Arabidopsis thaliana: one gene and its partner. The protein of the gene in region 1 interacts with the protein of each later gene in a pairwise test. Each region holds a gene or a part of one and is shown in the gene's direction. Other genes may lie near its edges.

Region 1 (3,755 bases):
ATATAAAATTGGGTTAAAGAATGATGATTCGATTATAGCCTCAACTAGAAGATACGTGTAGTGCAGGTGTGTAGTTAACTGGTGGTAGTGGCAGACAACCAGATTAGGAGTTAAATAAAGCCTTTAGATTTGAGAGATTGAAATATTCGATTGGAACCTTTCTAGATTTTTACAGCCATCTAAAATTAGATGCAGATCACCTACTACCATTCAAAAATGAACAAAATAATTTCATTTACATTTTCCTAGCATAAGATATAATAATAAAATAGTGCTCATTTTAATTACTTTTTCTAAATATTTTCGTTATTTTAAATTTTGCTTGTCTATACTCTACAGCTCATTTAATAACGGAAACAAAAATAATTGCAGGGATACGGATGGGTAGCTTTCAAAACTTACATCATCTTCTGTTTCTTGAGATCAACTATTTTTGGAGCTTTGTCTCAATCGTACCAAAGGATAATGGTCCTACCTCCTTTTGCATTCTTAACTTTATCTTCTCTACTTATTTCTTTTTTGGGATTTTTGGGGGTATTATTTTATCTTTTGTAGATATACACATTGATTTACTACAAACGTATACTACTATCCATCTTCAACTCTTCGGAATATGATTTCGAAAAAACTATGAAGATTAACGGGTATCTTAAACATGTTAAGATACACCGGACAATTTTCATTTAGAAGAATTGATATGCAATTAACAATAAATAGTTGATGATCTTTTAGTTTTGAAGATGTGCGTTAAGACTTAAGCGTGTGGTAACAAGGTGGGACTCGGGCAACGCAAAGCCTTGTAGAGTCCACTTGCTCAACTTGTCTTTCTTTTATCTCTTTTCCAAGTCTCAAGATTCAATGAACTCCGTGTAACACAAACACGCCCATAGATGAGCTCATTTTTGGTATTTCCAATATTGCCACTCCATGATAATATCATCTAGGGATGGGGTTCATTTATTTTGAAATCTCAACAAATCTCGTCGATTCTAACACACATGATTGATTTGTTTACTTACTTGAAAGTTGGCAACTATCTGGGATTAAAATTTATCTTTTTCTACTGCTAGCTAGAAGCATCTATATATGTTAGCCTAATACGTGGAAGATGTCATTGCTAATAATGGCTAAAGATGTGTATTAATTTTTCTTCTTTTTTCCTTGAATTTTTGTTCTTTGACATAAACTATGCTGTCAAAATGTGTAGAATCTTTTTACATAAATCATTCCCTGTTACACACTAAAAGGTTCACAACGGACGATTGTATTGGACTTCCAGATCATAAACCATGCAAAACTGAAAACCACAAGAATAATTAGTTCTAACTTTAGAACGTTCGTACGTGTTTCATGTTCAAAAAGCGTCAATTATAAAAGTTGGGAAATTACTTTTGAGTTTTGACATTTCTAAGGACAGTCAAATATGACAACATTGGGATGCAACTTACCTTGTATTAACTTATTTTGTTATAAAACCATATATTACATATTTTAAAGGGTTGATAAATAATCAAATATACCAAAACATAGCTTTTCAATATATTTGTAAAACACGTTTGGTCTACTAGCTAATTATGAGAACATTTGTTCAATGCATGATTATCTAGTATCTACTAGTGGATTATGAAAATTAGATATTTTCATTGCATGATTATCTTCCATATATAGTGATAACATCAAAAGAATCTACACCAATTATTGCATTTTTTCATTATATAATAAGCACTAAACTGTAAAATTATATTCAGCCACCCAAACCATGACAAATCACCTTAAAGGCTTAAACACATAACAGCCATTACGAGTCACAGGTAAGGGTATAATAGTAAAGAATCAATCTATATAATATACGACCCACCCTTTCTCATTCTTTCTGGAGAGTAACATCGAGACAAAGAAGAAAAACTAAAAAAGAGAACCCCAAAGAATCGAATATTTATTATTTCGCCCCGAAGATTCTATTTCTGATCATTTACACCCCTAAAAAGAGTAGAGCTTTCGTGAAGCCACCATGTGTGGAGGAGCTATAATCTCCGATTTCATACCTCCGCCGAGGTCCCTCCGCGTCACTAACGAGTTTATCTGGCCGGATCTGAAAAACAAAGTGAAAGCTTCAAAGAAGAGATCGAATAAGCGATCCGATTTCTTCGATCTTGACGATGATTTCGAAGCTGATTTCCAAGGGTTTAAGGATGACTCGGCTTTTGACTGCGAAGACGATGATGATGTCTTCGTCAATGTTAAGCCTTTCGTCTTCACCGCAACTACTAAGCCCGTAGCTTCCGCTTTCGTCTCCACTGGTATATATTTGGGTTTGATTCGAATCTCAACTTTTATTTGAATTGGAAAGCTCATGAAATTTTTAGATCTTTAGGTTTTCAGAGGCTTTTCTTAGTTTATAGCTTAGTCTTTGGAATTGGTTGATCTCACTGGTCTTGTAACCATCTGCTGTTACTATGTTGATTATATACCAGCTTACCGTCCTTAGCTCCTGAAGGGATGCAGTTTTGTTTGTTCTATTCAGCTTATGATTGATATTGTGTGTGTTTGGCTACAGTAGGTTCAGCATATGCCAAGAAAACTGTAGAGTCCGCTGAGCAAGCTGAGAAATCTTCTAAGAGGAAGAGGAAGAATCAATACCGAGGGATTAGGCAGCGTCCTTGGGGAAAATGGGCTGCGGAGATCCGTGATCCGAGAAAAGGCTCCCGAGAATGGCTTGGAACATTCGACACTGCTGAGGAAGCAGCAAGAGCTTATGATGCTGCAGCACGCAGAATCCGTGGCACGAAAGCTAAGGTGAATTTTCCCGAGGAGAAGAACCCTAGCGTCGTATCCCAGAAACGTCCTAGTGCTAAGACTAATAATCTTCAGAAATCAGTGGCTAAACCAAACAAAAGCGTAACTTTGGTTCAGCAGCCAACACATCTGAGTCAGCAGTACTGCAACAACTCCTTTGACAACTCTTTTGGTGATATGAGTTTCATGGAAGAGAAGCCTCAGATGTACAACAATCAGTTTGGGTTAACAAACTCGTTCGATGCTGGAGGTAACAATGGATACCAGTATTTCAGTTCCGATCAGGGCAGTAACTCCTTCGACTGTTCTGAGTTCGGGTGGAGTGATCACGGCCCTAAAACACCCGAGATCTCTTCAATGCTTGTCAATAACAACGAAGCATCATTTGTTGAAGAAACCAATGCAGCCAAGAAGCTCAAACCAAACTCTGATGAGTCAGACGATCTGATGGCATACCTTGACAACGCCTTGTGGGACACCCCACTAGAAGTGGAAGCCATGCTTGGCGCAGATGCTGGTGCTGTGACTCAGGAAGAGGAAAACCCAGTGGAGCTATGGAGCTTAGATGAGATCAATTTCATGCTGGAAGGAGACTTTTGAAGTGATCGATGGTTCCTTAGTTTGTAAATAAAGCTGTGTTGGTGAGTTACAGTTACAAGCTCTTCTTGTTGAATCGTAAAGACAAACAACCTAAGTGTTGGTTTCAGGATTAATCTTCTGTCGTTCTTTTTTGGTTGTTTCAGGATTTTGCTGTTGGGGGATGGTACAAGTCACACCTCAAGCTCTATGCATTGGTATCTCATGAGCCTCTCTTCCATAGAGAGTTTCTCTTTTAATTTTGTCGAAATAAAAAAGGTGTGATGAAGTAAATAGAGGTATAATAATATCTATCTATTAAGTCTTGTTTTGTTCTTTCATTTTTGTATTTCTTTTCTATTTAAAAGACAGTTTATTAGTCT
Region 2 (3,755 bases), on another chromosome or scaffold:
ACGATTCTCGGAGGGATCACACGTAAGAGCATAATCGAAATCGCCCTTGATCTTGGTTACAAAGTTAGTAGTTATTCCACGTCTTTTTTCTTCTAACACCGTTTCCAATCTTGAGTCAAAAAACAGAGCAATACTCTGTTTCAAAATAGGAATACTTTTGATGCATGGAAGTTTTGATAAGTGTGTAATGGACTCAGGTGGAAGAACGAAGTGTTCCGGTAGAAGAACTGAAGGAAGCTGAAGAAGTTTTCTGCACTGGAACTGCCGCTGGAGTTGCTTCTGTTGGAAGCATCACTTTTAAGAACACAAGGTCTCTTCTTCCTCTCTGGATACATGTATACATATGCTTAGAATTTTACATTTATCTGTTGATAAATAATCTGCAGGACTGAGTACAAAGTTGGAGATGGGATTGTTACACAGCAACTTCGATCTATTCTTGTCGGAATACAAACTGGTTCTATCCAAGACACTAAAGATTGGGTTTTGCAGATTGCCTAAGTTACTTTCATATCCTATAAATAATGTTGCACTCTCTTGATCACCCATCAAAAGCTTTTGAAATAGTTTTTGGTAAATTTGTGACATAAATTTGTGATATATCACCACATCGTATTAGTATTAAACATTTGTTTCACTCTTCCAAAGAGACAAAAGCAAAACTAAAGACCTTCAACTTCAAGGTCAGGATATGTAATCTAATGGTTTGTCTTTGTGGCATTTTGCCACCATTGGTTCAAAATACCATTGCTGTATGATCAGCCTCCTCAGATTCTATTTGCCAGACTCTACGGCGGTATATTCGCTTTTAGAAAAAAAACAATTTTGTCGAAACTTTTTTTTTTTTGTAAATATTGTAGATTCCACACACAAGACTGTCTAAGATTCTTTGATAAGACACGACAAATGCGATTTAAGATTTTTCAAAGAAATGAGGTTCGTTGATTGTTCCACTAGGTTTGGTATATTTATAATTTGAATTTTTTTTTTTAAAGATATTTATAAGAAAACGAAGGAGTGTGCTCGCGTCAAGTGTGTACTAATAGTCGATGACACTAGTGATACGACGATACTGGAAAGGGACATCAATATTCATTAGTAAGCCATCTTAGCAAAAACGTTGTTATCAGATAAGAAAAGTTCTCAGACTGACGTGGCTGTCAATCTCCACAACGTGTTTATCTCCCATTTGGGTAGTTACGGACAAAGACGTTGAAAAGACAACAATATGGTCTAAAAGATTGACATGGAAAGAAAATTGTTTATCCGACAAAGACCTCTTGGTCCAACGTGGCTTTCACATCACTAGTTTACTATTTCACATCTCATGGAAAATTACTGAAATTAGTACTTGTCTGTATTTTGTTTTTTCGTCAAGTATTTGTTTGTATACTTTAGGTAATTGCGTGCCGAAGAAACATTGCTAAATTGATATTTATACCAACTTACAATAGTTTACAGTTCAAAAATAGAAATCTCCATTTTGAAGATACACCACTAATTTTCTTCATTTATTTACCCCATAAGAGAACGAGAAAAGAACAATAGTCCGTTGATTTCGTTAAAATCTAGTTTCAGAAAGACACGTCTAGATCTGTCTGATCAGGGCAGATAGACACAAGTGACGAAGCAAAAGAAACACAAAAATAAGATAAGAACTCTTACCACTAAAAGATAAAAATAAGAAAAAAAATAAAACAAATTCAACGATTTGCCAAGATAAAAGCAGACACTGTACATAAGCTCCGCATTCACTTACGTGTTGGATACTTAATTTGACACTCTTCTTTGTGTTTTCTCTTCCACCTTCTTTTTCGGTATATCATTCAACAAAATTCTCTCTTCATTTCTTTATTTTGTTGTTTTTTTTATTATTATTGAAATCAAGAGAATTAAAACAGAGGCTCTGCAAAAGAAGATGATCAAAACAATCACATCTCTACGCAAAACTCTGGTTCTACCTCTTCATTTACATATTCGTACGGTATAAACTGGATTCTTACAATCTAATGATGATTACTTACTTAGAGACATAACTCGGATCTCAGATACAAACATGTTTTATGTTCTGTTTTTTTTGTCCTGATGAAATAGCTACAAACTTTCGCCAAGTACAACGCACAAGCTGCATCGGCTTTGCGAGAAGAGCGTAAGAAACCTCTTTATCAGTAAGTTCTCTTTTTCATGATCCAGCCAGGTCATATAGATATTTTGTTACCATTGGAAAAAGCTCTGTTTCAAATTTGTTGTAATTGTATCATATAGAAATGGAGATGATGTATATGCGGATTTGGATTGGGATAATCTCGGGTTTGGTCTAAATCCAGCTGATTACATGTATGTCATGAAATGCTCAAAAGACGGCGAATTCACTCAAGGAGAACTTAGTCCCTATGGGAATATTCAGCTAAGTCCTTCTGCTGGAGTCTTAAACTATGGACAGGCAAGGATCTCGTAACCCCCAAATGTTTCTTGATTTGTTTCTCAACTGTATGATCAATAGAGGTTTTGGGATTCTTTGCAGGCGATATACGAAGGTACAAAAGCATACAGGAAAGAAAATGGGAAGCTTCTTTTGTTTCGTCCGGATCACAACGCTATCCGGATGAAGCTTGGCGCTGAACGGATGCTCATGCCTTCTCCTTCGGTTGATCAGTTTGTTAATGCAGTTAAACAAACCGCTCTTGCAAACAAACGTTGGGTAAAAACGCTTTCTTGTGACGTATATTTCTTCTGAAGAGGTTTGTTTTTGGGATCTGATAAGTGATGATGTGTTTGTTCAGGTTCCTCCTGCAGGGAAAGGGACTTTGTACATTAGGCCTTTGTTGATGGGAAGTGGTCCAATACTTGGTTTAGGTCCTGCACCTGAATATACATTCATTGTCTATGCATCTCCAGTTGGTAACTACTTCAAGGTATATACAATACTCTTGCATGTCCATGCTTTTTGGCGATGGAACGATTAGCAAATGTTTTGTTCACTGATTTGTAGGAAGGGATGGCTGCTCTTAACCTCTATGTTGAGGAAGAATATGTCCGAGCGGCTCCTGGTGGAGCTGGAGGCGTCAAGAGCATCACAAATTATGCGCCAGTAAGTGTTGAAACCAACTTAGTTTCTCAAAGACCAGAGTCAGAAAAAGAGTTTTGATAAACCACGTGTTTGTAGGTTTTGAAAGCACTGAGCAGAGCCAAGAGTCGGGGGTTTTCAGACGTTCTTTATCTCGACTCTGTCAAGAAGAAGTACTTAGAGGAGGCTTCTTCTTGCAACGTCTTTGTTGTCAAGGTAAGATATATTGTGGTGTCTCCATGTCTCTTTGTTGCATCCTAATTGTATCATTGATTCAGGGTCGGACAATCTCAACTCCTGCAACTAATGGAACAATTCTTGAAGGGATTACGCGGAAAAGTGTGATGGAGATCGCAAGTGATCAAGGTTATCAGGTAACACAGATAAGATTGAATCACTCTAAACACCCAAAAACTAAACTCAGCTAAGTTTCACACCTGAGTTATGATCAGGTAGTAGAGAAGGCAGTTCATGTGGATGAAGTAATGGATGCAGATGAAGTTTTTTGCACCGGAACTGCTGTAGTAGTTGCTCCCGTGGGCACTATCACATATCAGGAAAAAAGGTAAATCTCAATGCCTGAATCAAGTTTTACTCAAGCCTTAAGCAAAGAAATGGACTGATGTAATCTTTCTGAAACATTCAGAGTAGAGTATAAAACCGGGGATGAATCTGTCTGCCAGAAACT

The links. Proteins that work in one complex are often made in the same cells at the same time.
Region 2: the proteins of RAP2.2 (region 1) and BCAT-2 interact in a two-hybrid assay, tested with the Arabidopsis thaliana proteins (one large-scale study listed by BioGRID).

Annotation. Positions count from the first base shown.
Region 1 is NC_003074.8:4,737,257-4,741,011, reverse strand, and holds the start of RAP2.2 (uncharacterized protein), read left to right. Parts: upstream 1-1,875; 5' UTR 1,876-2,011; coding exon 2,012-2,312; intron 2,313-2,557; coding exon 2,558-3,396; 3' UTR 3,397-3,437; intron 3,438-3,539; 3' UTR 3,540-3,755.
Region 2 is NC_003070.9:3,286,337-3,290,091, forward strand, and holds the start of BCAT-2 (branched-chain amino acid transaminase 2), read left to right. Parts: upstream 1-1,750; 5' UTR 1,751-1,918; coding exon 1,919-1,984; exon of another isoform or gene 1,985-2,094; coding exon 2,095-2,168; intron 2,169-2,265; coding exon 2,266-2,443; intron 2,444-2,524; coding exon 2,525-2,701; intron 2,702-2,783; coding exon 2,784-2,915; intron 2,916-2,992; coding exon 2,993-3,091; intron 3,092-3,166; coding exon 3,167-3,283; intron 3,284-3,345; coding exon 3,346-3,441; intron 3,442-3,519; coding exon 3,520-3,632; intron 3,633-3,713; coding exon 3,714-3,755. Other genes in the region: BCAT-1 (branched-chain amino acid transaminase 1), read left to right, coding at 1-63, 198-310, 387-501. UniProt on the Arabidopsis thaliana protein: Converts 2-oxo acids to branched-chain amino acids. Shows activity with L-Leu, L-Ile and L-Val as amino donors and 2-oxoglutarate as an amino acceptor, but no activity for D-isomers of Leu, Ile, Val, Asp, Glu or Ala.